4 linked regions of the Tamandua tetradactyla genome follow. The protein of the gene in region 2 interacts with the protein of the main gene of each other region in a pairwise test. Links are inferred from orthologs where the notes say so. Each region holds a gene or a part of one and is shown on either strand. Other genes may lie near its edges.

The links.
Region 1: the proteins of UBE2L6 (region 2) and RNF125 interact in a two-hybrid assay, tested with the Homo sapiens proteins (3 studies listed by BioGRID and IntAct). The link is inferred for Tamandua tetradactyla from reciprocal best matches to the Homo sapiens genes UBE2L6 and RNF125.
Region 3: the proteins of UBE2L6 (region 2) and RNF144B interact in binary tests that used the Homo sapiens proteins (3 or more experiments, as listed by UniProt). The link is inferred for Tamandua tetradactyla from reciprocal best matches to the Homo sapiens genes UBE2L6 and RNF144B.
Region 4: the proteins of UBE2L6 (region 2) and RNF144A interact in a two-hybrid assay, tested with the Homo sapiens proteins (2 studies listed by BioGRID and IntAct). The link is inferred for Tamandua tetradactyla from reciprocal best matches to the Homo sapiens genes UBE2L6 and RNF144A.

The regions. Positions count from the first base shown.
Region 1 is NC_135344.1:51,166,228-51,173,871, reverse strand, and holds the start of RNF125 (E3 ubiquitin-protein ligase RNF125), read left to right. Parts: upstream 1-4,639; 5' UTR 4,640-4,853; coding exon 4,854-5,017; intron 5,018-7,644. UniProt on the Homo sapiens protein: E3 ubiquitin-protein ligase that mediates ubiquitination and subsequent proteasomal degradation of target proteins, such as RIGI, MAVS/IPS1, IFIH1/MDA5, JAK1 and p53/TP53.
Region 2 is NC_135335.1:20,005,884-20,013,502, reverse strand, and holds the start of UBE2L6 (ubiquitin/ISG15-conjugating enzyme E2 L6), read right to left. Parts: upstream 3,001-7,619; 5' UTR 2,904-3,000; coding exon 2,877-2,903; intron 1-2,876. UniProt on the Homo sapiens protein: Catalyzes the covalent attachment of ubiquitin or ISG15 to other proteins. Functions in the E6/E6-AP-induced ubiquitination of p53/TP53. Promotes ubiquitination and subsequent proteasomal degradation of FLT3.
Region 3 is NC_135351.1:21,508,542-21,515,642, forward strand, and holds the start of RNF144B (E3 ubiquitin-protein ligase RNF144B), read left to right. Parts: upstream 1-4,094; 5' UTR 4,095-4,151; coding exon 4,152-4,154; intron 4,155-4,895; coding exon 4,896-4,973; intron 4,974-7,101.
Region 4 is NC_135329.1:52,296,947-52,303,867, forward strand, and holds the start of RNF144A (E3 ubiquitin-protein ligase RNF144A), read left to right. Parts: upstream 1-3,921; 5' UTR 3,922-3,950; intron 3,951-4,134; exon of another isoform or gene 4,135-4,286; intron 4,287-4,296; exon of another isoform or gene 4,297-4,419; intron 4,420-6,921. UniProt on the Homo sapiens protein: E3 ubiquitin-protein ligase which accepts ubiquitin from E2 ubiquitin-conjugating enzymes UBE2L3 and UBE2L6 in the form of a thioester and then directly transfers the ubiquitin to targeted substrates.

The sequences.
Region 1 (7,644 bases), on a different chromosome or scaffold from region 2:
ACACACCAGAGACGGATTGGCTTTCAATAAAAGGGGACTTATTTCATTAGTTCTTCAGAGGAAAGGCAGCTAACTTTCAACTGAGGTTCTTTCTTACTTGGGAAGGCACAGGACAATCTCTGCTGGCCTTCTCTCCAGGCCTCTGGGTTCCAACAACTTTCACCCAGTGATTTCTTTCTGCATCTCCAAACACCTGGGCTGAACTGTGAGTGCTGAGATGAGGTATGCTGAGCTGCTTGGGCTGTGCTACCTTGAGTCTCTCATTTAAGCACCAGCCAATTAAATCAAACATCATTCATTGCAGCAGGCACACCTCCTAGCCGACTGCAGACGTAATCAGCAACAGAGGAGGTTCATACGCCATTGGCTCATGTACACATCAGTAGATCCAGGCACCTTCAGCTGGCCAAGTTGACAACTGAATCTAACTACCACAAAGGTTTTCAAGTATCCTTTATACTAATCTATGTTTCTGATGCCCAATGTTTCTAAAAGTCTCAAACAGAATCCTGGTGCTGTCACTTTCTTGCTATGTGACCTTTGCTAAGTTAATGTCTGAGCCTATAAAATAAGAATAATATCTACCTCATGAAATTTTGATTGAGGTATTATACATATATAAATATGTGTATCACCTCCTATCTTACAGGTATTTTAGCATCCATTACCTAGTAAGGCAAATACAGCATGCTATGGAAAGAAGCAAAGAGAATGTCTGAGATAGATGTGGTCTAGAAAGGCTTCCAAATGAAGACTTTGTATTGGAGAAAGTTGAGTTGGGAGTGGTGGGGTGGAAGGTAGGAGTGACCAGGCAGAGAAAAAAGCATGTGTAAAAAGTTCTCCCTGATGCTGAAGAGAATTCAGTACACTCAAGAAATTGAAATAAGTACAGAAAAATTTGGAGCACAGAAATAAGGGGGAGAGTGATAGCAGATGAAGCCAAAAACGGTTGTTTGAGAGACGGTAATGTCAGGCAGTCCTAGGGGATATGTACTAATGAATTTAAGTCACTCAGAGTATTCTCACTCTCTTACTAGGGATTGGCTTAGAGGTCATCATGTGGCCCAGTGTGGACCAAGGAGATGCAAGGGAAAGTCTGCAGAGGAAGGCTTTGAGGACACATTTTTTTCTCATATAAAAGGAGAGAGAGTTACAAAGAGGAAATCATATCACTTCCTTTCTGTTTTTGGAGACTGTTGTGTGTAGATGTGACTGTTGGAGATGTTGCCATCTTTCTGCCATCTCAGAGAGAAACTGAGATATGGGGAATGCAAGGGGCTGAGTCCTTGAGGACATCATTGAGCTGCTGAGCAACTCTGGAACTACTTATGCTGGACTCTTTTATCAAATAAGCAATAAATTTGATCAAGACACTTTTAGTTGAATTTCCATTACCTGCCACCAAAAATATCTTGATTATAGTTGTTGAAAGAGCCATACCATGCAGGACTTTGTAGATCATGTTAAGGATTTAGAAGTTAATCCAACAGTTTGTGGAGAGCCATTAAATGGTTTTAAGCGTGAGATGACACAAGGTATATGCTTTTCTAAAGGTCATTGTGGTTACATTGTGGATAATAGTTTGGAAGGATGGCAATAGTATGTGCTCTAGTTTGCTAGCTGCTGGAATGCAAAATACCAGAAACGGAATGGCTTTTAAAAGGAGAATTTAATAAATTGCTAGTTTACAGTTCTAAAGCCGAGAAAATGTCCCAATTAAACATGTCTATAGAAATCTCCAATCTAAGGCATCAAGGGAAAGATACCTTGGTTCAAGGAGGCCAATGAAGTTCACAGTTTCTTTCTCAAGTGGAAGGGTACATGGTGAACACAGTCACAGTTTCTCTCTCATCTGGAAATGCACATGGTGAACACAGTCAGGGTTCCTCTCTCACCTGGAAGGGCACATGGCGAACATGGCATCATCTGCTAGCTTCTTCTCCTGGCTTCCTGTTTCATGAAGCACCCCGTGAAGCATTTTCCTTCTTCATCTCCAAAGGTCGCTGGCTGGTGGACTCTGTTTCTCGTGACTGTGTCATTCTGCTCTGCTCTCTCTGAATCTCTTTCATTCTCCAAAATGTTTCCTCTTTTATACGACTCCAGAAACTTATCAAGACCCACCCAAATGGGTGGAGATACATCTCCACCTAATCCAGTTTAACAGCCACTCTTGATTAAATCACATCTCCAGGGAGATGATCTCATTACAGTTTCAAACACACAGTATTGAATAGTGATTATTCTGTCTTTATGAAATGGGATTTAGATTAAAACATGGCTTTTCTAGGGGACATACATCCTCCCAAACCAGCACAGAAGATGTAGGCAGAGTAGTTAGAAACTACAGCAATAGGTCATAGAAGAGAATGTAATGACTTAAAATAAGTGATGAGTGAGGAAATGGAGAAGAATGAATCAATCCAAGAGCTACTGAGAGATATACCTCTATTGGAGGTAGAATTGTGGTTGTGATTGATTTAATGTGAATGAGGGAGAGTGAGAAATCAAGAATGACTTCCAGTTTCTAGACTGAACTACCAGGTAAGGTAGCTCACTTTACTAAGAGAGGGATTAATTACTGGAGAAGCAGCAGATGGGAGGCTAAGATAATGAGTTCATTATTGGACAAGTTGAGCTGAATATGTTCATGATGTAACCACATGATATGTCAAGTAAGCAGTAGGGTATTTGAGTGGCATGGGGTGGAGAAAAAGATTTGAATGTCTTTGGAACCTAGATAGTAGAAGGATATATGAGAGTTTTGAGATTCTTAGGGAGTGGGTGAGGAATGAGAAGGTAAAGTGTCCTAGGACAGAATTCTAGTAACTCTAGCACTTAGCCTTTCTATGGAGAAGGAGATGCCAGTAGAAGAGACTACACAAGAGTAGCCAGAAAGAAAGAAGAAAAGCCAGAGTATTTCAAGAAGGAGGGAGTGCTCAATAATGATAAACAGAGTTGAGAGGTCGAGCAAGAAAATGACTGATAAGAGTCTATTGGCTTTTGCCACCTGAAGGTCACCAGTGACACTGGTGATGAAGTAGTTTTTGGACAGATGGAAGCAGAATGGTTGGTTCAGAAACCATATTGGATTAGAAGAGAAGTGAACACTTAAGAAATTGACACAAAGAAGTTAGAAACCCTGATCAAGAAATTTAGTCTTGAAGACCATATAGTACAGGAGCTGAGGGACATGTGGGATCAAGGAGGGGGGTGGGGGTGTTTTTTTTCTAAAGGTAGGAATGACTCCCTTTGCTTCAGTCCTCTATCCAATTCATCAGCAAGGCTTTCTAGGTCTTTCTCCTAATTACATCCCAAACTTGTCCACCTCTCACTTTCTACCTACCTGGTTTAAGCCATTGTCTTTTCTCACTTGAACTAATTCCATGGCTTCCTAACTAATTTCTCTGCCTCCATTCTTGCTTTGTTTCTTTCCTTTTTCCATATAGCAGCAGAGTAAATCAAATAAAAACGCCTGGTATAAAATTCAAACTCTTGTCCTGGCTTATAAGACCGCACAGGCCCCTGAGTACCCATTTCATCTTATCCCATGTACCTCTCAGACCCTCCTATGCTCCAGTTTCACATCTTTCTGGTCTCGGTTCCTTCCTCACTCACTGTTCCCAGTGCTTCACCAGCTTTTCTTCTAAATCTTCGAATGGCTGACTCCTTTTCATTATTCATAACTCTGCTCAAATGTCACCTCATCCATAAAGTCTCTTCTGACCTTCTTATCCTTTTTCCTATCTCTAGTCCCTTCTTTGTAGCTGTCATTCGGAGTACTCTTGTTCATTTATTTATTTGCTGGTTACTAATATCCCATCGATAAAATAAGATCTGACTGGGAGAAACGGGGTGAAGTGTATATGAGATTATCATATATTCTATCTATGTATTATCACAGACGTATGCATTTATGTATCTGTGTGTTTTATATTATTTCTTACAATTGTATGCGAATCCATAATTCTCTCACGGTAAAAAGTTTCATTTTGTTTTTTAAAGGAAGTTCTGGAAGACTTGGGAATGTGTTTGCTTGTTCAGAACTGTGCCTCCATTTCCAGGACAGAGTCCCATATGCAGCCACACTAAATGGGTCTTTGCTAAAGAGTGAATGAATGAATTATATGCTCGGTCATGTTTCAGAGGATGGGAAGAAAAAAAGCGTATTAACAATAGCACGAAATGCTGAGCCAAGGATACTGGGGATGAGGAGAATTCAGCACTAGAATCCTATTTCTAGAGCTGCAATACGAGTCCGGGTTTTCAGAACTCTTTTCACGACATCATTTAATCTCTCTATGAATAGGATATTGCTTAGATGACCTGAGTAGTGATTAGCACAGTTGGAGGAGATGCTCAATCTGTCCTAAGTCATTTTGTAGCTTATTAAGATTACACAATGCAGGACCGATGGATGGGTGCTCTCTGGCTCCCATGAAGGCATGACCTATCCCGCACTTTCCTGAAGTGTGACAGTGGGAAAGGATGTGTGATAGCCTGGAAGATTCACTACAGGCCCTGGTCCTCTTCTTTGCCGCTGAGGTTTCAGGTTTCAATCCTCCCAGGACAGCGAGACTTTGCAGCATGTGGGCTGTGCCGCTGCAGCCTCCGCCTCCGCGCTTTAACCCTGGCAGCTCGCGACAGATAATCCCAGACCTGCGGCCGCGCAAGGTACTCGCTCTAGACCCAGGTTGGGCGCAGCTGCAGAGGCTGGTTCTGGGCTGCGCTAGCCGCGGGCGCTGGGAGGCGGCGATCGCAGCTGGGCCGGGACTTCCTTCCTCCACCGCAGAACAATAAAACCACCCGGCTGCAGCACTGAGCTCTTGGCAGCCGTCTGGGCGGGAGGCGTAGCGATGGGCTCTGTGCTGAGCAGCGACAGCGGCAAATCTGCGCCTGCCTCGGCCACCCTGCGGGCCCAGGAGCGCAGAGAGGACCCCGAGGTGCCCGTCACGTCCTTCGACTGCTCAGTGTGCCTCGAGGTGTTGCACCAGCCTGTCCGGACTCGCTGCGGCCACGTGTAAGTGCCATAGGAGCTCGGTTTGCGCACCCACCCCATAGGGAAGGTGCCTAGGGAGGATGATGCTGGGGAGCGGAGGACTTAGAGGTTTAACAGCAACCAGTGCACCGGAGTAATCGGTTTCCCTCTGCTGGAGACAGAAGCTTCAGGGACAAGCCTAGACCTGTCGGGTAGGAGGCACGGAAAAAAAATACCCAGTTCGAAAGAGACAGTATTGTGAAAGGAGGAAATAGGAACTAGCGGGCCCTGCAGTCTCTTCAGAGCTGCCTTGTCCCGAATGCCAGGTTCGAAGCCCCAGGTATGGGGATCCCAGGTTGAGGTCCCGCCGACAGCCAGGTCTCGCCAGCTGGGGTGGGTGCTCTTGGCTGGAAGACCAGCGCCCGCACTGGCACCGAAAGAGAAGGGGTGCCCAGCTACAGGGCAGGGGTTCCCGCAAAGCACAGTTGCTCAGCAGAACTGGGTTGAACAGGCTGTGCTTCCTTCTTCCGCGAGAACCCCGACGGGTTTTGTTTTGCTGGCGCTGTGCACGTGTTCCAGGACGCCCATAGAGGCTAGTCTCTTGGACAAACAAGGATCTGGGCAAATTGTCTTTCTACCCGCAGCCCCACCTCCCTTTTCCAACATAGACACCCAGACCCCTCCAACATCAAGTCAAACTGAAACGCCCAAATGACTTTCTGTATTGGTTAGAGTTTAACTGAACGTGTCAGGATGGGGTTTGGGGCTCGAATGTAAGCGCCAGGACTGTGAATGGAGCCGTTTAAAACCCAACAACAGACAGGAGATTGAAGGTTATCTGCTTTAGACACCCTCCCACCCCCAAATGGATGGAACATGTAGAATAAAATCTTCCTTAAACATTACGTACTGTTTAAAACTCAATTTTAGTGCAAAACCGAGGTAGTTTTTAGGAAGAGTTTAGAAACAAAGCCCCTGTATAAAATCGGTACACCCTGGATGTGTGCTTGACTAGCTAGTAGCCGGAGTTGGATTTGTGAATTCATGTTTTCGTTTACTTGCTAGATTTCCCCTCCCCAACTCCCCGGGGGTGAATGGGTATGTGTGTGAGAGTGTCGGGGGATTTAAAGCAGGAGCAAAAATCCACCTAATGTCTTCTTTGGACAGCCGGCTTTCTATAGTGTTAAGGGGCAGGGCAATACCGCAATGGCTTGCAAATAAGTGCAAGTGCATAGAACGTTTTAAGAGGATTTAGGTGGGGGTGGTCCTTGACGTCGAAAGCCTAGTACTGGACAAAAGCACCACTCAAGGGCCTATCCTAGCCAGCCAAGGAGAAAGAAAAAATGCAGCCCATACAGTTTACAATGTCCTAGGTATTATTTTGTGGCTGTATTTTCAGCGGCTGTTGTTGCAGCTTTTTTTAGTCTCAAGGCTGATCAAACTCATTTCTGATTACTGATGTTGATTCCCAGCTGTCCCAAACACAGTTCACTGACATCATATCCAAAGGTCAATACGGAAAAACAAGATGTTGCCTAACAGTATAAAATACAATCATATTTTATTTTTTAATAACTAACCTTACATTTAAATCCCTGTTTGCATTAAAGATTTTAAAATTGTGTGGAGGATGCTCAGTGGGCATCAAGTGTTAAGGCTTCCTTTTTACAAAATGGAATGAGCAGCTTTGCTCTTGTAATTATCTGATTGGAAATTGTTTTCCCCTGGTTTGGATTTTGAAAGCTATAACCTACTGTTGACAGTATTTCTTGTCCTTTGCTTCTGCTAAAGGATAATAATAATAATAATATCAGTTTGCAAAGTGTTGCATCTTGTGTTTAGTCTTTTTTTTTTTTTTTTTTTTTTTTTGTTAGAGTGACTAGGAAACCAGCAACTGGAAAAATAGTCATAAACAGCATTACAAAGACTGGACAAATTGCCTTCCCTCACTTTACTGTTCTTTGTTTTGACAAATCTATGTCCATTGTTCTGGCTGTGGGCAGAATTTCCATATTCTTCCTTTTGGCAAACTCACTTGGTCCCTTCCACTTTATAAATGTTAACCAGAGTTCCTCCTACACTGGAGATGGTGAGTGCTGTTAATACCATTTGCGCTTCTAAATGACTTACTAAATTTCACTGAACTGGAAAATGAATGCAAACAAGACCTCTTTTATTATCTGATATTGAAGCTAGATTTCCTAACTTGTTGAAGTAGGTTATTTATGCTAATTTCTGTCTATAAACCTATTTGTCCAACAAATATGGTAACAATACCTTGGACAAGTATCTATATAGCACTTTATAAATTGTATTGTGATGCAGTTGAGTGAACTTTAGAGATGCAGAAGTTTATTTCTGCCACCAACCAGTGTGTGAACACTAAATTGCTTAATCTCTTTAGGTCTTGGTTTCCTCATTTTGTAAAATGGGATTAGTAATGGAATTTTTGAGTATTTAAAATGTAACAATAGCTTATAAGAAAGGTTCAAAACTTATTAGTTTCTGTTTCTGTGAAGTCATTCCACAAGCAATAATCCCATGAACAGACATTATTTACTATCCCTTCTTTTCTTTTGGAAGACAACCGGACGACAAAGGGTAGATTGGTGTCATTTCCAAGATTTTGTAGCTAGTCCCAGACAGCCTTACTTTTAGGTTAGAACTTT
Region 2 (7,619 bases):
ACAACATGACACAGTGGACAGCAGAAGCCAGCAAAAGTAGGCCCCTGTTTTGAGTATGTGTCAGGCCTGGCGCTAAGTACTTGGTGAGAATTCTTTGATTTCAGCCTCACCACAGCTCTGTAAGTATGAGGTGCAGGGAAGATGTACATAACTTCTCTCAGATATTACAACGTGGGATAAAGCTCTCTCAGGAACCCTTTCTCCTAAAACCAAGGTACTTCACCTGTACCTCTTGCCCTCTTCCTAGAAAATCACTAGGTCCCAACTCCCCCACCACCCACCCTTCCATTAGCATCTGCTGAGTGCCCCACAGGACATGAGTGGATGGTGCTTATGGCAGATTTATGCAGCAAAAACTCCACCTGAATACACCTGAGGAAGGAAAATGACTCAGGCAGACCACAGCAGAGGAGAACTCTACATGCCAAGCTGAGGAACATGGGGGCAAGGAGTGAATTTGCCCCCGAAATGTGACCCAATCATCTGGATATCCGTGAATTCTCTCAACAATCATTTACTGAGCATCCTCTACTGACACTCGTCTAAGACAGAGCCCAGTCCTCAAGAAGTTCCATGGAAGAATGCAGGAAACATGAATGTGATTACATGGTAACATGAAATGGGGAAGGAGAGATGAGGAAAGCTGGGAGGTATCACAGAGGCTGCACGTTGTGAGCTGGGTCCTGCAGATTAAATAGGAGTTTCATGCAGAGAAGAGGAAGGGTACCAGAGCAAAGGGACCAGTTAGGACAAATGTGTACACTGCACCCCATGGAAGGGTAATAGTTACTACAGGAAAAGAGTCCCATAGGTATATAAGTTTGGGAAACACTGGGCTAAACCAGTTTCTTTACTGCAGGGTTTCCCAGAGCCTTTATTGTGGGTTATGATGTGAGCCCTTCACATGCAATACCTCTCAAACATATTTAACCAAGGAACCTTTTTGGGGTCCATTCCGTGCAACTACAGAGACTTAAAAAAAAAAAGATGAAAATTAATCAAAAGCAGGTCTTATTTCTTTGGTATACCTAGTTGGTATAAACCAGCAGTTTTGTCCCCTGCCCTCCAGGGGCCATCTGCCAATGTCTGGACATATTTTTGATTGTTATAATGGGGGGGGGGTGCTACTGGCACCCTGTGTGCATAACGTCCTACAATACACAGGCCAGTCTACTCCGGTGAAAAATTATTTGGTCCAAATGTCAATACTGATGGGACTGAGACTGGCAGAGAGCTCCCAAACGCAGCCCAAAGTTGGGGAAGAGTCCTTTAACCCCGTGATCCGTCTGAATTTTCTCTGTCCCCCTCCCTTCTATCTTTTAGCCCATCCTCTGTCTCTCGTCATACCAACCAACTGCTCCTGGTGCCTTCTGCATAAACATCATTTATCTTTCACCCCAAACTAGAAGGAGAATTTGCTACTACAAGTTCTCATTGAGTGTCTTGAAGCTCAAGTTAAAAAAGAAAAGCTCTGGAATGGACATTTTCCTGACTTTAACTGGGAACATTCAGGAATTGATGTGTTATGAGTTCTGCCAAATTTTCCCAGAAAATGTTGCAACCAAGCTAGGACACACAATTTTTTCCTGAAGCCAGTTCAGAAAATCACCTGATTTACAGAAAGAGAAAATGAAAGTACAGAAGTCACTCAAAGAGCCGGCAGCTCAACTCCCAGCCCCATCACTTCCTTACCGGGTGATAGTGAACAAGCAACTTACTCTCTCTGAGCCTCATTTCCCCATCTGCAAAATGGGGTGCTATTGCTTATCCCACCTGCTGGCCGTGAGAATGAGAAGAAATAACCGACCTGAACTGCCAGTGTAACAAACACTGGTTCCCATCTCTTTAGCACTCGGCTGCAAGAATTCTCCAGCCAACCTCCAGCCTACCTTGGGAGTTCAGTTCTTCCAGGCTGAGCCTGCTCTCAGAGCCCCATTCAGACAGCATCTTCTCCAAGGTTCCCTCCTTTACCCCCTCAAGCCTGTCCCTCTACTCTAAGGACTAGAGGACACTTCTGAGAGACACAAAGGCTGTGGGATGGGCAGCCTTACTTCACCAGGATTGCTTTTCCTCCCCCATCTATCTACAGTCCAGTTCCCCACTCGAGCTGGCCTTCTCCAGCTCGTGCCCCGGCCCCCTATCCTTCCAGAACACATGGCAAATTGTGTACCTGATTAGAATGAAAGCTCAGCCAGAGCAAAGATTTGTGCCAGCTCCTTCACCTCTGCCTCCCATCCTCCGATGAGATGACCCATAAGAGGCATTCAACAACATTGGTGGAACGAATGAATGAATGCACACCACCATCTCCAGGAGACCTCCGAGGTCACCTTGGCATCTTTTCCTCCCGAGAAGGCTCGGGGAATGCGGCCCGAAACTCGGAGTCAACATCTTACGTTTCCTTGGACTTTAATAAGAAAGGTAACAACCTAGGGGCGGCCACAGGCTGTTACTCGAAGGCGAGGACCTTGTCCCCTTTTATTCTCTGCTCATAACCCTCTTTTTCCGCCAGAAGAGTGCATGACACCAGGAAGTCGCCAAGGAACCCTGGCTGCAATTGTTCCCTCAAGTTTCTGGCAGGGGAAGTGAAACTGAAAGCAGCATCGGGATAGCCTGCAGTGGGCTCGTTCGCACTCTCAGCAAAGCTCGGCGGGGGGGAGAGCGACAGCCCCGCTCCGCATGGCCCACCCCCCACCCCCACCTCTAGCCCCCTCTCGCAGACGCACTCCTCCACTGGGGAGGGAGGCGGGGATAGCAGATTCAGCCAACCCTGGTATCCAGACAAAAATGCACCGGGAGAGCCGGGGTAGGGAGAGAGAGAGCGCGGAGGGAACCGGGCGGCCGCGGGAAAAGGGGGTCATCCCGTTGGGCGTTACCTTCGCCACCCGCTTGCTCGCTGTCATCTCAGGACCGAGTGTGAGGCTCCGGCGGAGTCCAGCTGCACAGTGCACCGGCGGGCGGTCTGGAAGCGCGCGGCCGGGGTGGGGCGAACTCCTCCTCCCCGAGCCCCGCCCACGCTTCGCTCCACCCCCCCCTCCACCCCCGCCCCGCGCACCCACGCGGGGGCGGTGCGCGGACTCCGCGGAGCTGCGGGGAGGCTGCCGAGGGGGCGCACCCGGCCCCGGCGCGGCGGGCTCGGGTCCCGGGAACTCCCGCTCTTTGTCCGGCGGGCCTGGGAGCGCGCGGCGGGACCTTGTGTCCGGGTGTCGCTGGGGGTGCGGGGGTGGGGCGGCTCCGTGCACCGGGCAGCGGGGGCGCGGGGCTGGGGTCCGCCCAGCCGGGTGCGGGTCCCAGCTCCTCCGCCGGGGCCGGCGCCGGGAGCGCCTCTGCATCGACCTCTCAACCCCTACCCCCAATACACTCTCGTCCTGAGCAAAGACAAGGGTGGTCGCTGCGCAGGCCAGCTCCGCGGCAGGTCTCCGGACGGCCCCTGCCCATCAAAAGTCGCCGCCCCTGGCGAATGCCCGAACCCCCATGGACAAGTTGTGTCCCCTCTCCGAGTCCAGTGCCTTGTCCCTAAAAGTAGATGGGGGGCCGCGTAGACTAGGTGCCCTCCAAGGGCCCTTCCCCCAGCAGCCTTGGACTCTCACTTGCTGACCAGTAGCTGGCGGAGAAACTGCAAGGACGCTGCTCCCAGACACCATAAGGGGGCGCTGTTTGGCTCAGTTTTCTCTCGCTTTGGGGGTTGGGCCGTCCATTTATTTGGTCCTTTACTAGGCTTCATGTATATCGTAAGTGCCAATACATGTCGGTTTGGAAAACAGGTGGGTGGAGGGAACCCCGAGACAAACTTCAGGAGTTTCCCCCCAGAGGGAAGGCTGCCTCCCTTCTTTTCTTGCTGGTGCCTCCACAACTTCAGCCTACTATGCACCCCCATACTCAGCTAGGAGTCTCCTTCCCTTTATGCAAGCGCAGAGACCCCTTTCCCCAACCTGAAGCCGAGGCGTTCTGGAATAGTAAGCCCTGAGCACCTAATAGCGTCCGGGGGGAAGAATTTCCTAGAAGTGGTGACACGCAGAGATTTCTTGGGAGGAAATGAGCCCTGCTTCCTCACCCTCTCCCCACTTCTGCCCAGCTGTCCATCAAAGGGAGTCTGGTTGAATCAATTATGGTACAGCCACACAGAGGAATATTAGGCAGCCGTAAACAAGAATGAGGAGGCTGGTTATGTACTGCTAGAGAATGTCCTTAAAGATATATTTTAAGGGATGAAAACAAAGTATAGCAGGGTGTGAAAATTATATTACCATTTGTGTAAATAAAGGAAAGATAATCTTTGCGTGTGTATGCCTAGATGTGTGCTTCTGTGTGTATTTCCGGAAAGATACAAGGTACAGGCGCAGTGAAGGTTTCTTGGGATGGCAACCAGGGGACTTGCATAGGAATGCAAGGAAACTTTTTTACAATAAACCTGATTTCCTTTTAAATTTTTGAACAATGTGAATGGACTACCCTTTAGAAAATGAAAAATGTTTAAATTGAAAAATAAATATTCTTTTTAAAACTGAAACTTGTTGACATTCGAGTTTTTATTGCTAGCTTCTGTTTTAAAATGTGGCTTCTTTTTGCATTGTGACTGCGTGATTGCAAAAACCTTGTGTCTGATGCTCCTTTTATCTAGGGTATGGACAGATGAGTAAAAGATATGAACAAGAAAAGAAACAAAAACTAGGAGGAACAAAGGTTAAATTGAGTAGTTTGAAATACTAGTGCTTAATGAGAGGGAGGGATAAAGGGTATGGTATGTATAAGTGTTTCTTTTTTTGCTTTTATTTCTTTTGCTGGAGAGATACAAATGTTCAGAAAAATGATCATGGTAATGAATACACAACTTTGTGATGCTATTGCTAGCCATTGATTGTACACCACAGAATGTTTTATGTTGTTTACAATAAAAATATTAATAAAAAATGTGTTATGGTAATATGCAAAAAAAAAAAAAATGTGACTCTTGGCAATACAAAGCCCAGGGTCCCCATTGACTGCCCTTTTATACCAGGTATGCACGCCCTCTTTGCCGCAGTCCTCACCACTCCCTATTCATCCCCACCTGGCCAGCTTCACCCTCTCTTTTAGCTGCCTGGCTCCTGGAAGGAATGCCTGCTCTGAAGTTTCTCGCCCTTGCTAACTTCTTATCTCTCAAGAACTCTCCTCTCCTTTCTCCCCCAGGATCAGGATTTTTTGTTTTCCGGGATGATTCTGGCTTCGCAGATGTAGGCGTGAAGCTGTCCTAGGAGGTATGACAGCTCCTCTTCCCCACTCAGGATGTTCCAAGGACTTCACAGGGTGAGGTTGGGGAGAGAATGTTGGCATTGTCTATCCCTAGATGAGGCGGGAACTTCCTTTCAGAGGGGGCTGTCTGGGTCAGATAAAGGCTCAATGACAGAGCTAGAGTAAGTCTCAGAGACTACCTGAAAAACAGGCAGGAAATATATTAATACATGAAAAAAAAAACCACGTTTCATGCACCATAGACAGTAGACATCTTACCTGTGTGTTTATGTAACTAAACTTGAAGGGTACTGAGGTGACTGATAGAGTGGTGATCAGTTGGGGAGGAAAATGATTTTGTCAGTTTACAGCACACCCTTTCAGGCTATCCAGGCTATTTCATCTTCTTTGAGCTTTTGTACAACTTGGTGAGAAATAAAATCTTGTAGGCCCAACACGGAGTCACCCATGCTAAGCCTCACGTTAGCGAAACAGTAAACTTAAGCTACTTACTATTTCCTGTAAACGCTGGGCTTGCCCAGGAAACCAAATTTAAATACGGCAGATAAGTTATCGCCAGCTAATCGGTTCCTAGCAGCCACCTGCTCCTCACTTCATAAAAACACACCCTCCACCCCACCTAAAATGGAAACTTAATGCCAGCCAATCCAAATATTTCCTCCCTTGCTTCCTCGTCTGCCCAGTAAGAGTTTCTCCCTTCCATCTCCTGGGGCCAGCTGGGGGTGGGGAGTTTCCTTTTACTTTCTGAATGGGGTGCTGCTTGATTCACGAATAGCTCAAAAAGCTGTGGGATCCTAAACTGCATGAAAAGTTTTCCTTTTATCATCAGTAAATTTTAGCAACTGATAACAATGCAAAATAATTCTTGTAGACATGCAAATTCTTTTCTCTCCAGTACAGGTTTAACCGACTTCCTCTCTGTTTTAGTTGTTAAAGCTGCTGGCATGTGATATACCAGAAACAGGACAGCTTTTAAAAAGGGAATTTATTAAGTTGCAAGTTTACAGTTCTGATTCCTTGAAAATGCCCAAACTAAAGCATCTAAGGAAAGATGCCTTGACTCAAGAAAGGTCCAGAACACCTGTCAGCTGGGAAGGCACATGACAATGTCTGCTAGCTTTCTCTTCTTATTTCATAAGGCTTCCCTGGGGGTGTTTTCCTACTTCATTTCCAAAGATCTCTGGCTATGTGGGCTCTGTTGGCTCTCAAGCTTTTTCTAAAATGTTTCCCTCTTAAAGAGCTCCAGTAAACAGCCCCACCTTGAATGGGTGGAGACTTAGCTCCACAGAAGCCATCTAATCAAAAGTTACACCCATAATTGGGTGGGTCACACCTTCATGGGAATAATAAAAAAGATCCCACACAGCAATACCGAATGAGGATTAAAGAACATGGCTTTTCTGGGGCACAGGACAATTCCAAACCGGCACATTCCACTCTTTGGACCCCCAAAAAGCATGTTCTTCCCAAATGCAAAATACATTCATTCCATCACAATAGCACAAAGCCTTAAACCATTTCAGTAACAATAAACAAATGCAATATACAGAAACGGTACAAAATCTCATCAAAGTCAGCTATAGACCTGGTCTGTCTTAAGGCAAAACTCTCCTCTGTCTGTGGACCTGTAAAACTCAGAACAAGTTACCTGCTGCCAATGTACAAAGAAGGGGTATTCATAGGATACATATTTCCTTTTCCATAAGGAGAAATTGGAAGGAACACAGGGGTCACCATACCCAAACAGTTCTGAAACCTACAGGGCAAACTCCATTAGATTTCAAAGTCTGAGAGTCATTTATCCTCAGAACTTTAGAAAGCAGGAGCCCCACTCTTTCCAAGGGTCTGCTCAGCAGCTCTACCCTCTCCAAACGCTGGTGTGGGGTTTGCAGTCTTGAAGGACACTGGGGAGAGCACCTTTTTCTCAGCTCTGCCCTTTCCGAGCATTGAGGCAACAACCAGGCTCTCTGCCATCTCTGGGGCACACGTTCAACCCTTCCAGGATAATGGGGTGGCAGCCAGGCTCTCCCCAGTCCCCCAGGAATGTGCTCCACCCTCTCCAAGGTCTGGGAGACAACTCTTCCAGAGCATCCAGCGGGGAGACTCACCCTCTGCCTTTGGGGCAAACTCACCCTCTCCATGTGTATAGATGGGTCCACTCTCCTTGCCCGACATTTCTTGTCTTCAAACCTTAGCTTCCATGGTTCTGCCTCTGAGGCTACTTTTCCTTCAATTTGTCCCTTTTCTGTCCCTTTTAATCCAGACTGGCAGTGGTTCCATTTATGCAGATTCTGCAACACTTTTGTTGATTTTCTATGTCGTATGAAGAGAATGTGACTATCAGACAATAGGATTTTCCAGAGATCCTTCCTGGATAGTTCCAGCTC
Region 3 (7,101 bases), on a different chromosome or scaffold from region 2:
TTTCTGGGAGGCGTTAGTTCACTGCTTCTAGGAAGAACTGAGACACAGGCCATTACAGGCAGTATGGAGGTGAGCTGCCTTGCAGTTGGGAATACTATGGTGGAGAACCTGAGAGGTTGGGGGGTGTGAAGTCACTGAGTGTCTAAAAGAAGATGGAGGGAGCAAGGGGAGTTTTAGGGCAAGTTGCATAAAGGAGGTAGTGGGACACCAAAGTAAGAAGTTTGGGATATCTATTTTCTGTGCAAAAAAGGTTCTACCATTATTGAAAAGCGTCTTACTTTTAGTTGCTTGATCACACATGAAGTCTAGATCTAAGAATGGCTTCAGGGTCAAATATTAGTAAGAGTATTGGAAGATCTATTTTGCCAAGAGTGACTACCTCTTTGTAGTGCTGCTACTCAGTGTTAGGTAGGAGGTTCTCTGTGTCTGTTTTTAGCTTAGAGTTATGTTTAAAAAGACCTCCTGGTTTGACGCATATGTTGCCCAGAAGGAGGATGGGTATTGTAGAGGGAACACATATTCTTTGATCCTAAGCCCAACCTTTGAAGCTCACTGAGCTCATTGTGACCTTATAGATAACAGACCCTGCCAGTGAACGTGTTTCTGTGTCTTCAGCTTATTCGACCATGGCAGAAGGTAATGCTGTTGTTTTAGTACTTCACGTTTCATGTCATACACTTGTCTTCTAAGGTCATAAAAACTTGGTTGATTCTAGCAAAAGAGAGCAAGCTTCACTCTCTACAGTGAGCCACAGCCATGTTACTGATTTTTTTCACCTGTGGCCGAGACTACTCATTGCCTTCCCAGATTCTAATTTTAACTTCTTCTTTAGCAAAATGTTAGTCCAGTTGAGGCCTATTTCCTAACCTCTTTTGCAGCCAAGTGTGGCTACACAATTAAGTTCCAGCCAATAAGATTTAAGTAGAAATTTTATGGGAACTTACAGAAAGACTATTGAAAAAGAGAGGATGCACCTTCTTTGCTCCTTTCTGCTTTTCTCCTTCTTCTGGTTTCTGTTATGATGGCTGGAGTTCCAGCAGCCATCTTGGAACATGAAGTGATTTTGAAAATAAAAATCTGACACAAAGCTGGTAGCGCAGAAAGATAGAGGATGCTCGGGTCCTGAATTACTTCATGGAACTTCAGTGCATGCTCTATTACCTGCAGACTTTTCCCAAAATATGTTTAATGTGAAAGAGAAAAAAACCTGTCTTTCTTAAGAGATTGCTACTTTTTCCTGTTATATGTAGCCAAACCCAATTCTTACTTAATGAAACTTGGGTGCACCTCAAAATCATTTGGGGGATCTAGTAAAAATAGTGCTTCCTGGGCCCACCCCCGGAGATTCTGATTTAATTAGTTTGACATAGGACTCAGGCAAGTGTAATTTCTAAAAAACATCCTAGGTAATTCCAACATATGACCAGTGTTGAGAACCACTGTCCTAACTGATGTGCCATCTCCTCCAAGTAACTACGTGGTTTCAGGAATTGTGGTTTATGATATCACTGTGGCACTTACATTCTATTTCTGTAGCTCTGCTAGGAAAGGGAACAGTACTAGGGAGGGGGACTTAAATGCTAATGTTGTGGATGTCTACAGATTCTGAGAATTCAGAAAGCATTAAAATGACGATGCTATCCATAAAGGCTGCCTGTATGGCTTCACTTCTGAAGAAATACTTTCCTTCCTACCGCCAAATAATACTTTTCCTGGAGAGTATGAAGAGCTTAGCAGCAAAGGACTGGGGAGGCGAATAAAGAAAGATGTTTCTCTTGTAGCTGAGCGAGGTTGAAAGGGAAAAAAGGCAACTTTAGATATCCCCCCCCAGCAGCACAGCTGGTATTTACAAAATATTGTATGTTTTTTAGTTATCATTTATTGAATACTTCCTGTTTGAAGCATAATCCTAGAAAGAGAAGGCACATTTTCTGCCCACATTCACAGTTTGGTATTTATATGTACAAGTAAACCTGTGCTTAAAATATAGTAGAGAGTAAGGTCTGTGGCAGATTATGCAAAGACTACTTTGGGAATATTCACATCCCCTCCCGGACAAGTGGCATTTCAGCAAGAGTATTAGCCTGGCTGGCGTCGGGGCGAGGGTAGGTTCTCTCTTGTCTGTGGGTGATGGTGTGTTGGACCTGGGATAGCGAATTTAAGGTATTGCCAAGTAAAAAGTTAACTTTACCAGACTGTTCAATTATTGAGGATTCATGGATGATGTTCAGCACGACCATCCACACTGAAAAATGTGCAAACTTTTGTACTTCTATAAATGTCTTTTGAATGGATGAAAATTCAGAAGGACATATCTTCTGCAGTGAGAGCTCACAGAGTGATCATATTCTCAAAGGCGTCTCTGATGTCCACAAGGACCGGAGCCATTGTTCTTTTGTAAATTGATGGGGGAAGAGGGGTGAATTGATAAAGAAGTGATCTGGTGGCTAGAGTTGTCACTGGGATTTCCCTTAGAATTTCCCCATAAATACAGAAATAACCTGTGGTAGATGATATATCTGAATAAAATATTTAAGAATCAAAAGATACTTTACACAAACTAGGGGAACTTATAATGTAAAGTAATGGCTTGAGTTATTTTGCAAAGTCAAGAATTAAAGATATCTCTTTTATATGTTCATAACTTCTGGATTTTGTATATAACCCTCCGGCTTTCACAACTATATGTGACAGCTTTTATCTTATCATCATTAAACATTTATATTTTATTAGACTTTAAAAATGAGGAAATTAAGGCTCGGAGATATTAGGAAATTTATCTTGGACTAGGTAGTTTATATTGAGTTAAGCCCAGATTTAGTGGATTCAGAAATCTATGTTCTTTTCATAGCATGATGCTGATTTACTTTATCCATCCATTTTGATGGGGGTTAATCAAAGTTCTTCTGGTTTCAAATCACTGAAATAAGTTTGAAGTAGCCTAAACAAGAAAAGGGAAAATGTTATTATATGGACAAGATGCTAGTGTCTTGAGGAACCCAAAGATAGGAATGCAGTTGGTTCCCAGAAGGAAATGGAACTGGGAACTGGAAAATTGTTATTCTCTTTCTCTAACTCTTATCTCACCTTTTCTTTTTATTGTTCTCACTGTGGCTTTCTCTGTTTCTCATATAGATGAATGGAACATGGCTGCTGCATAGCTTCAATGCAGCACAGAGATTAGCTATCCCTAAATCCAAATTCCAAATTCCTGGGAGAGAGAATCTGATTGGCTCCATTTGAGACAGGCAACTATCCTGGGTCCAATCAGCTTCAAAGAAGCAGGGTTCATTACATCCTGCAAACATGGCTGCCAAGGGATTTGAAGGCAACTTCCTTTACTGGTAGGCAGATCTGACTATTGTCTTTTCTCACTGTCTCTTTTGACCACAGCCCACTCTGGACACTCTGATTGCTACATGGAGAAGTTTAAGAGTTCCCTTCCAGGTTTAACCCATGACTACAGTTCTTTGAAAAGAAAACAAGGTAAGAGCAGACTCTGGCAATATAGTGTGACATCAATGATTTCCCCCTTTTGAAACATATCATCACTGTCTCCTCCTTCTCATTATTTAGGGCTCCTTGCTTTCACACACACACACCAAACATTCATAGAAGATAGGGTAATGGTTTCTGCTTTAAAGCTCAACCTCTGCCTTGGGCTACAGGAACCACAGCTCCACTGTGTTTGTTTGTCAATATAAAGTGATTAAAGTCCTCTCCAAACCTTTCTTCATCATAATTTTGGGGGTCCTCTCCTCTATAGTCACTACTTATTCAGAAGTGGATCCAGTGACTCTCATTGGGCAAAGTAGGGAGAGTAAGTTCGCCTAGGATTCTCAGGAACAGGTGGTCATCACCAACTGCTTTCTCATTGAAGCGGTTTCTAAGTAAAGAGAGAAAAATCTCAAGACCCAGTTAAATACATTTTATACTCTGTATTTTCTTCTGTAGCTGTAAAGAGAGAGAAACTTGGGAATAAAGTTTTTGTAGGTGGCCCAAACTTAGGAATGTTCAGTGTTCCAAAAGTTTGTTTACAAGTCAGTTGTTCAGAACTTGGAACTCATTTTATTATGGAAACAATACTATACTTGCAAGGTTAGGTTTCTAGCCAAGGTATAAACGATTATTTGATCTACAGCATAGCTGAAATGGTAATGGTGACCCTGAAGTTTTCCTTATCCTTAAAATTGGAGTCTGAACTCTTCCATGTCAAAACCTTGAATCTATTAGCCTCTTGAAAACTAATTCCCTATGAGTTTGTCTAACATTTGATCCTTGAGCTCCTTATTCACATGGAGATGTGTGGGTGGATGATAGACGTGGGCATGGAAAGATGCAGGGGTAGTAGATGGTATCAGAGGAAGGGGAGAGGGGAGAATAGTGAGTCTGATGTTTTCATTGACTACCATAGGAAAAAAGATATAGGAGACTGGGAAGGAGGGGTATGAAGGAAAAAAATGAATGGCTGCAACTTTTGATAAATATCTCTTGTCATCTGTTAGACAATGTTTGCATCTAAAGTATATATTAGTTGTTTTTTCTGGTATGCAGTTCTTTCTCTTCCATTAGTCAGCTGTAAATTAAGAACAAATTTCATATCATTCCTCATTTAACTGGGTCAATGAATGCATCTACCTGAGATGAGACCTTAAGACTGCAGAGAAATTCAGTTGGGTAATGGGTAGGTGTGAATTGGCTCTCGTTGCATAGTTAGGAGATCCTAACATGCCTTTGTAGAGCTTCTGCATGTGTGGCTTTAGCAGATGGTTTCATCCCCTCTGGCATGGATCCAGACAACTTTATATTCTCAGCATGCAGATGAACAAGGTCAAAACAGGATCTTGTACTGAGATAGACTTTTGAGTCATACTGTTAACTCTTCTCTCTTACAGGAAACTTGCCCCGTCCTTCTTGCAGAGGCCAATGCTGAGAATTCAAAGTACACAGAGTTGTTGGAGTCTTTTCCCAATGTATGTTTTATGTTTCTCTTCTTGATCAAGATTGGGGTTCCTCTAATATAAGAATAATGTCTGATTTGTTCAGGCAGAACACCTGGCCTCTTGTGCTAAGTAGACATTTAAAAATAGAATTAAACGTTTTGCATCAGCCTTCTATTTTGGTCCTCGTTCTATAAAAGAACTTGATAGGAGAACAAGTGGGAGCTTGATTTCACCTATAAATTTATTGGGGAGGTGAGTGTCATCTAGTAGAAATTCACTTGATTTGGTCCATTGAGTTCTACTATATGTTGTCCCTGTAATTGCTTGTGTGATTTTTGTAAAGTTAATTAATCTATCAGTGTTCAGTTCCATCATTTATAAAATGTGAAAGATAAAACCTAAGCTGAAGGGTTGTGAGTATACAATGAGATGATGTTTGTGAAAGCACTCAGAGGAGGGCATGATATGACCCTACCTCTATAAAAAATACTTTGCAATGAGTAAGGAGTGATTTGCTAAAGATTTACTTACTCTACAAAATACAAGTATATTATATTTGATGCCTTTTATTCAATCCTTGTTTCAATGAGCTAATAATGTTTACTCCATTGTAATTTCATCTTCCACTTGATTTTTTTTAATGCAGCATAAAATACTGTGTAGTTTTACTCCATCTTTCCTAAAGTTAATCCTTATCCTAAGTTTTGGCACCATATGTTAGATTAACCTTGTTTTGAATTTTTTATAAATTGAATTACATATACTATGCCTTATTTTTCTGGCTGTTTATTGTGCCCATTATAACTGTGAGATTCATCTATGATATTGTGTAAGGCAGTAGTTTTAAAAATTTCATTGCTGTATAGTATACCTTTGGTAAATCAACCAGATATTTATTTAGTCACTCTAATGCTGATGGGATTTGGACTGCTTCCAGATTTTAGTTATTTCATATAGTTTGTTCCATATAATGTCCTATGAACATTCTCATATCTAAAAAATGCAGTGTGGTATAATTCAGGGTATGACATTGATCCCTTCATCCTGTTCATTTGTGGGTATTTATTAGCCATCATGCTTGCTGGAAAGAGGCATAAGCTGATGTGATTTCAAAGAAACATCATTAGCAATCTGAACCATTGAAATGAGATAATCAGCATAAGCTGGGCAGGCAGCCACTCAAGTTGTTTGATTTCTGCTTCCTCTTCCCACTCCAGTTTTGGTAGCCGCAGGTGTATATGATTGTATGGGTTCCATCTGTTGTCCAGGTCCTGTGGAAGTACGTGCAAAAATTGTAGGTTGAAAAGATTGGAAGTTTTTTTTCAGAATGTAAGTAATGCCATGTAATAACAGTGATCACTCTGAAAAGTTTTGTCTCAGTTTTCAACTCATGGATCGCTTCTACCAAAAGAAGATGAAAAGTCTGTATTGATTTTCATCATAACCATTGAGGAGGGGAGCTTTAACCTGCATGTATGAATTAGGTCATAAGAAAGGAAGAGAGATACTTAGCAAGGGTCCCTGATCCCAATAGAAAGGTCTTGGAGCAGGGCACGGAGGTTTCCGTCATCTGTCTTGATTTATGCTAACCCTTACCCAGGGAAATAAATGAGCTCTCTTCCTCACCCCATTGCCAGTTGGCTATGTTGATGTCTCAAATGACTGAACTATTTGCCTTTATTAACTAATGCTTACCAGAGGGGTCATAACATCCCCATTTTGTCTTTACATAAGCTGTGTGGGGTTGCATATCACAAATGTGCCTCTTTGGGTTTAATAAAGCACTAGATACCAGTAAATAATTAGCAGTAAAATTAGGGTTGACCTTCTGTGATTTTTTAAAACTTTTTAATTGTATAATATAACATATATACAAAACAAAGAAATAAAAAAGCAATAGTTTTCAGAGCACTCTTCAACAAGTAGTTAAGGACAGATCCCAGAGTTTGGCATGGGCTACCATTCCATCATCTCAGATTTTTCCTTCTAGCTGCTCTAGAACACTGGAGGCTAGAAGGAATGAATATTTTTTATCATCACAGTTGACTTTTTTCTTTTCTGTGGAAAATAAATATATACAAAAGAGTCAGAAATTTCAAAGCATGACACAACAATTAGTTGTAGAACAGATCAGAGTTTGGTATGGGTTCCAGTGCCA
Region 4 (6,921 bases), on a different chromosome or scaffold from region 2:
TGAGCATTAAATGTCTTCCCACAATTATGAACACCTAACGCTAAGTGCAATTTAATCATTCCTCCAGAATTGAGAAGGCCCTTCTGTAAAATTTTGTAAAGCCCTAAGGGCAAGAGTCTATTGATTATTATAGAAAAGTAATGTAATAAAAAGTGTAAAGAAGCTTGAATAAGCCAAAAACCTTGAGTAATAGCACTATTTCTGCCACTGGCTAGCAGTGATCTTGAAACTGGTAAATGGCTTTGTTTAAGCCTTGAAGCTTCCATATGTGAAAAGAAAAGAATATACTACACTTCCTCACTCTTTCTCTCACTCTCTCATCCCTTTCATTTTTTAAATGTCTACTTAGAATCTATGGCATTTTCATGAGAGCCATATAGGAGTACTTGTAGACAGTTCTAGAAGCCAAAATTCATTTATTTCATTCAACAAATACTTAGTAAGTACCTACAACTTGCCTGACCTGTGCATGTTAGAGTAGTGGATAAAACAAACAATACCTCTACTTTCCAGGTGGATGCCAGGCAAAAATATTTTTACTTCTTTAGTAACTATACTAACCTTCTCATTTATTTCACCGACTTTTGTGGCATTTGCATTTCTGTATGGCACATAGTCTCTGAAGTATAATGACACTCTGGCACTTTCTACATGCTGTTTTTTAATAAGTGGATGCACATTCTTCTTCACTTGTACTTTCTTTAAGTTTTGGTTTTCTTCCTTAAACTATTTTTATAGTTTTGTTATGTGGACCATGTATTTTCTTGTGATAGTATTATGTTTGCTTTTTTTGAATTTTTTCTCCACATACTCCAGGAAAATAACTAGAACCTAGTTTCAGCTCCAGGGGTATTTGCAGAGCTGAAAGAAGCTATCTGAAAATAACATTGCTTCATCCTCTCTTCCGTGGCTGCACTGAAGAGGCTATTGGGGATACCTAGGTTGGGGAAGGAGGAGAGCTGGACTTTGAGGGGAGGGAGGCAAGATTGTGAGCAAGGGATGGTTTCCCAATAACACCTTGAGACTAGCAGGGACTTCCCTCTCTTCCTTGGTGTTGCCCTGGGAAAGGGGGACAATCTCACAGGCTGCTGAGTCCACCTGTGTACCTTTGATCCTGAGTTTGGAAAAAAATAGTCCTGTGCCTGGAGAGGACTCCACTTCCTGGAGTCTGGAAGAGAAGCTGAATGCAGCCTGCTTTCAAAAGACCACATGGCTTGGACAGTGAGATTATCCATAGACACAGAGATGGATTGAGGAATGCCACTTCATATTCAGATCACCAAATAATCTCCCAGAATCTGCCATATCCCTAGAGAGAGAGCGTCAACCACAACTGACCTTCAATTTCCTGCCACTCTCTTGAAATAGGGATTTTAATTTGAACCGATTTTATAAGTGAAAGAAATGGGAATTTTCTGTATGCACAGAATTGATCACAAATTAATATAAACTCCATTGTCCAAAATATTTTATTTTAAGCCCTGAGTGTGAGTCTGTGTTTCTTTCAATATTGCATTCTAAGGGGAAACTTCAAAACGTATTTCCACATCTCCAGACTTTGGATCATTTATGATGGTACGAATTCTCTGGCTTGTTTACTGTCTAGCACAGACTCTTCCCCCTTGTAGACAATCAAAAAGACTCTTGTTCAGTGAGTATAGGATGAGTCACACTGCCTTTAGGGATAAACACTGAGGAACAATGGATATCTTTTAAAATAGGCTTGACATGATAAACCTCTTGGTAAGAGTGTTTCGGTGCAGCTGTGGCTAGGGCAGGATGCTGGACTGGAAACCTATCAGTGATGGGTATAACATGTCATTGAGAGAACCAAACAGCTTCTTAGTGAAGAGAACCAGGGCAGTTGCACAGACATACAGCCCAGAGTAGATGATTCTATTCACTATTTATTGAACACTTACTATGCCCAAGACCCAATGGAAGGGAGCAGGTACATAGAAAAATTACTTCATCATTGCTTTACAGAACATTAGATTGTAATCATCAAAGAGCAAACACCCAGAACATTAAATGTCGTGCGACAGATGCACAAATCAATATAGATACAAACGTACTATTATACATGTTCAGAGGTTTGGATGGTGGGGTCATGGATTGTTAAGACTTCATAGAGAAAATTGCATATGAGATGCATGGTGTGGTCTGCTGCAAACTGGACTTTCAATGATGATATACTCTCTGCCCATCTCCCCAACAGCAGTTACGGCAACAAAGACAAACAAAACATGGGATTTAAATCACACGCTTTGCTGCATAAACACAAGTCTCAATCATGCGATTAGGTAAGGAAATGGCTCAGCACCTTAGTCTGCTTCCACTTAGCTATATGCTCCTCCCCAGCCCCCCCGACTTGATTTCTGTGTCCTGGTTTTCCATAGATACGTCTGCATCTCAATACTAATTTCATGGGACACAGTATTGTGGTATAATTTCCATTCTCTGGGCGTTTACAGTAAGTACTCTATCCATTCACTAATTTAATCACTCATTCATAAGAAGTGCTCTTACTAGTACTTCCCTATATTGCCAACTGGAATACAGGAGATGCGAATGTATTTTCTATGAAGCCCAGGCTTTTATGCAGAGCTACTTTAATCTTGTATTGAGAGGCAGGATAACAAAGGGTCATTGTTAGCTTTCTTCCTATTGTGTATTTTTTCATGAATAATGACATTTCTGCAAAGAATCTAACTGGATCCCAGCCATCAGAAGACAAGTACTTGCTCCTGTTTTTGAAGAGCAAAAATATTTACCAGAAAAACTTTTCAGTGCAGATGAGATAGATATGATTTTTAAAATAGATATGTAGGTAGCAGAGGTAGACAAATTATGTAGTGTTTTAAAATAATTAAGTATTTTGGTGTAATTGTTTGGGGGAAATGGATTGCCACTTATGATTGTCAAATATGGTGATCTGTGCCCTGTGTTCTATGATTCATACAATCTCACATAAGACCTCCATTATATACATAGTATGATTACTTTAATTTTCCAGGTAAGAAAATTGAGGCACAAAGAGATAAAAATAACTCACTTACAGAAACCAGGCTAGTAAGAAGCAGAGGTAGACTTCACACCAGGCAGCGTTTTGCTATGCCCAGGAAGGATGATTTTACTGCGGGTTTTCCCTATAATTCTGGAGAAAAGAGAATCTCTGAATTGGAGGAGGTATTATTTCATTCAGACAAATAACTTCTGTTCAATATGCATGTGTGACAGACATATGACCTAGAATTTGTATAACTCCTAGCTACTAGAGGGTGTGGCAAAAGTAAATCTTAAAGGAATTCCATTTTCAGCAAACTAAACACTTTAATTAAGAATAAGAAATGAATTGTTATGTGTGATTCTCAGATACCCATAAACCTGGTGGCATCAGACAGTTTCCCATCTTCTCCATTTGTCAAACAAACTTGGTGGTGGGATGAGAAGATGTTTCATGTTAAGTTGGGCGAAGAAGTTGAACTAAGCTGAGCTCAGCCTTTACCAGCAAGATCCTCATCAAACAGAGCTCGAAACTGAGGCTCTGAGAAGCCAAACGGTTTATTCATATTTGCCTGGTCAGTGGCTCATTCTAGCACTTGGCCTAGGAAGGTTTGTTAAATGTCTGGTTGGATCATTCATTTCTCTTCTAGCTAGGTGACATATTCACCCCAGACAGTTGAAATCACACGTTCCTCTTTCGGAGGTCACTAAAATAGGAATCGCATTTTCATTTCCGCAACCATCGGCCGCCCTTATCATTATTTGGATGATTATTAGTTTTTCCAAAGGGGCCAGGAGGCCAGAGCTGAAAGTTAGCTGAGCCGGTGCCAAGACCCTGCGGGCACCAGAGGGCGCTGTGTCCGTTCAGGGCGGGGGCTCGGTCCTCTTCAAAGGCAAGCTGCTGGGGCGAAGCTTCCAACGTTTCCCAGCGTTTTTGTGTGCGGGTTAGTGGCCCCCACCCCTCGCGCCGCAGATTCTGCCCCCCTCCTCCGCGGGCTTTGCAAAAAAAAAAAAAAAACAACGGGTGGAGGGCGGGGATGAAATAAAGAGCCGCTGCCTGGTGTGGCCCAGGGCGGGCTGCGCGGGGCGCGCGTGGAGGCGGCGGTAGCGCGCGTTCCAGTGCCGGGCCGCGGGCACCCGAGCCAGAGCCGTCGGAGTCCCGCGCTGCCGCCGCGGCGAAGGAGCAGCAGCTCGGCCGCCGCCAAGAGCCCAGGCGGGCACAGACCAGAGGAGGCAGCCGCCCCCACGCCCCGGAGGAGCGCCGGCCGCGCCGAGACCAGGTAGGATGACGCGCGCGCGTCCCCTTTGTGTCGGCATCACAGGAGCCGGACCCAGCCAGAAGGAGAGCTGTGGTTTTCACCGATCCGGCCTCCGTGGCTCGCCCAGTCCCGGTCTTCCCGAGTGCCCATCTCGGTAATCCGCTGCGTGGCGGGAGGCGCTGGCTTGGGCGCTCGGGTCGTGGCGGGTGCTGGAGGCGGGATGGAGGGTTCTTGGGGTGAGGAGCCGCTGTCTTCGTGCGGAGCACTCGCACCCTGACTCTTCGGCGGCCGGTTTGGGATTGCATTCCCTCCCCTAGCGCCGTGACCACTTTCAAAACCACGGAACCACGCCACCGCCCTTTTTCCACTCTTGGTCTGCGTGTCAGTTTGCAGCGATGCGTGTCTTGGCGCTCGCGCGCCGGGGTCGGGTTGGCGAGTTCGCGGGCCGGGGCGCTCTCTTTGTTGGAGGGCCCCGCCCGCAGGCCCCAGAGCTCGAGACTCAGGGTCAGAGCTTTTGTCGTGGACGAGGGTGAGCGGGTCTGGGAAGGAGGAGGAAATGGGGGAAGGTCTAGTCCGACAGAAGTCGGCTAGGGGTGCTGCGTGCCCTCCCGGTTTAAACATCCCCCCTCCAGCGCCCAAAATGACCACAGCCGCCAGCTTCCCTCCCACCCTTTCCTTCTGGATGGGTGCGCTGCCCAGTCGCGCCCTCGGCAGTGCGGAGAGAGTAGTGGGCTGATAGGGGAAGTTCCCTGCACATCTTGGAGAGGGCTGGGATGATAGTTTTACCCCCACCCAACCGTCTAGTACTTGCTTCCTAGAACTGCTACACCATCCCTAGTTCCCAGTTATTCGGTTGCTTATGCAAGCGGGGGGTGGGGGTGGGGGCTCAGTGGTAATGGGGTGGGAAGAAGGTGGGAGTATTTTATTCATTTTTCCTTAATGATCTTCATAGGCCAATCTCAGGACAGTTATGCCAAAAGTTTTCTCCTCTGTCTCTGTCTCTGCCTCTTTCTCTCTGTGTCTTTCTTCCTTGTTATGCAATGAATACTATAAAATGTCCAGTTGACTAATATTCGGTGCTTGCCTTGTGCCAGGGCAAAGGCTGGATTGCAGAGAAGAGTTAGATAAGGCCCCAGGGAGGTATCCCAGTAGGCTCTTTGCTGTCACAGGAGGGGAGCTGATACCTAAACTAGAGACCCCACATCTTGCATTTAACAGTTGTGGAAAGCTGATTAGTGGGAGGATAGCCTGTCTGGGTTGGACCGAGAACTTGGATAGGCAAATCATGTTAGGGGCTGCCCTCAAAATGAGTGTTCAGCAAGGCAGATGATAAGTAAAATTCAAAGCAGAAAGTAAGTGGCGTAGACGCAGAGCAGTGGGCGTTCCAGAGGGAGAGTCAGGGAAAGGTGGGAAGGTAGGCAGATCAGGGAAGGCTTTGGGAAGGAGGTGGTAGTTGAGTCAAAGCTTGAAGATGGGTCAGATCTGTCATCTGGCAGGAAGGACCCATCTTGGCAGAGGGGCAAGAGCCAAGGCTAGGAAGAAGGAAGGAAAACACCAGGCACGCATCTCTGGACTTTCACATTGGATTCGAGGCTGGTGGTTTGAAGAAGACCAGATAATCGCTTGGTTGTATTCTCTTCCACAGTACTAAGATTGAGGAGCTTGTGTTTTTCTGTTTTCTAGTGCCTTTTTTAATTTTAATTTTTTTTTACTATTTTTTTTTAATGAGTGATAAGGAAACATACTTTGAGAAGTGAGATGGGGATAAATCAAGAAATCTTTGAATTCCAGGTGAAGAGTTTAGACTTGATCTAGTGGCATTGGGAGACACTGATGGCTTTAGAGGAACAGAATGAGTGATCTGAGCCTTGCTTTAGAGGAATTCATCCTTTGGTGGAGGAGGGAGAACTTAGAATGCAGTGGGTGGAGCATGGGCTTTGTACTCAGACCCCCACCCAGACCTGGGCTTCCACCCTTATCACTTACCAAAGGGTCACACATGAATAGAGGGCGTCATGAGACCATAGCATGCAAATAATCTAATTTTAGCGGAATGCAAATTTTCCAGATCCAGCACAATTTGAATTTTGTTGTTTGTTCTTTTATGAGGTCCTGATTCTGAGGTCTTTTAAAGAGATCTTTTAAGAGCTTCTAGAAAAGGACTAATGAAGGTAGACTTGAATGCTGGGAAGGGTGGGCAAAGCAGTAGTGTGGGGGAGGTATTGGGGGAGTGGGCAAAGCTGCAGTAGGTGAATGAAATGATACGGCCCCTACAAAGCAATGAGTGGATCTGGATTTTGAATACTTGGAGAGCATTTTAAGATTTGCATATCTTATAAATATATTCTACGACCCCTCAGTTTGACTATTTGCAAACTCTGCATTCACATCTCTATTAGCATATAGTATCATGCGTGTATGTGTGGATTTAATGTGACTTTGGACTTTGAAAAGAACTTACAGGTTCAGTTAAAGCTGCTGAGATTGAGGGTGGTGAGGGTAGCACACAACCAGACAGTGTCAGGGAGCTACGTAGCTTTGTCCCTGTGGTTCTTAATTTGGTTCTACTGCTGCCTTACCTTTTCTGTCTTTGGAGTCATTTTCTGGGTGGAAAAGGAGAATCTTGTCTCATCAGTTGAGAATCATGGAACCTCAT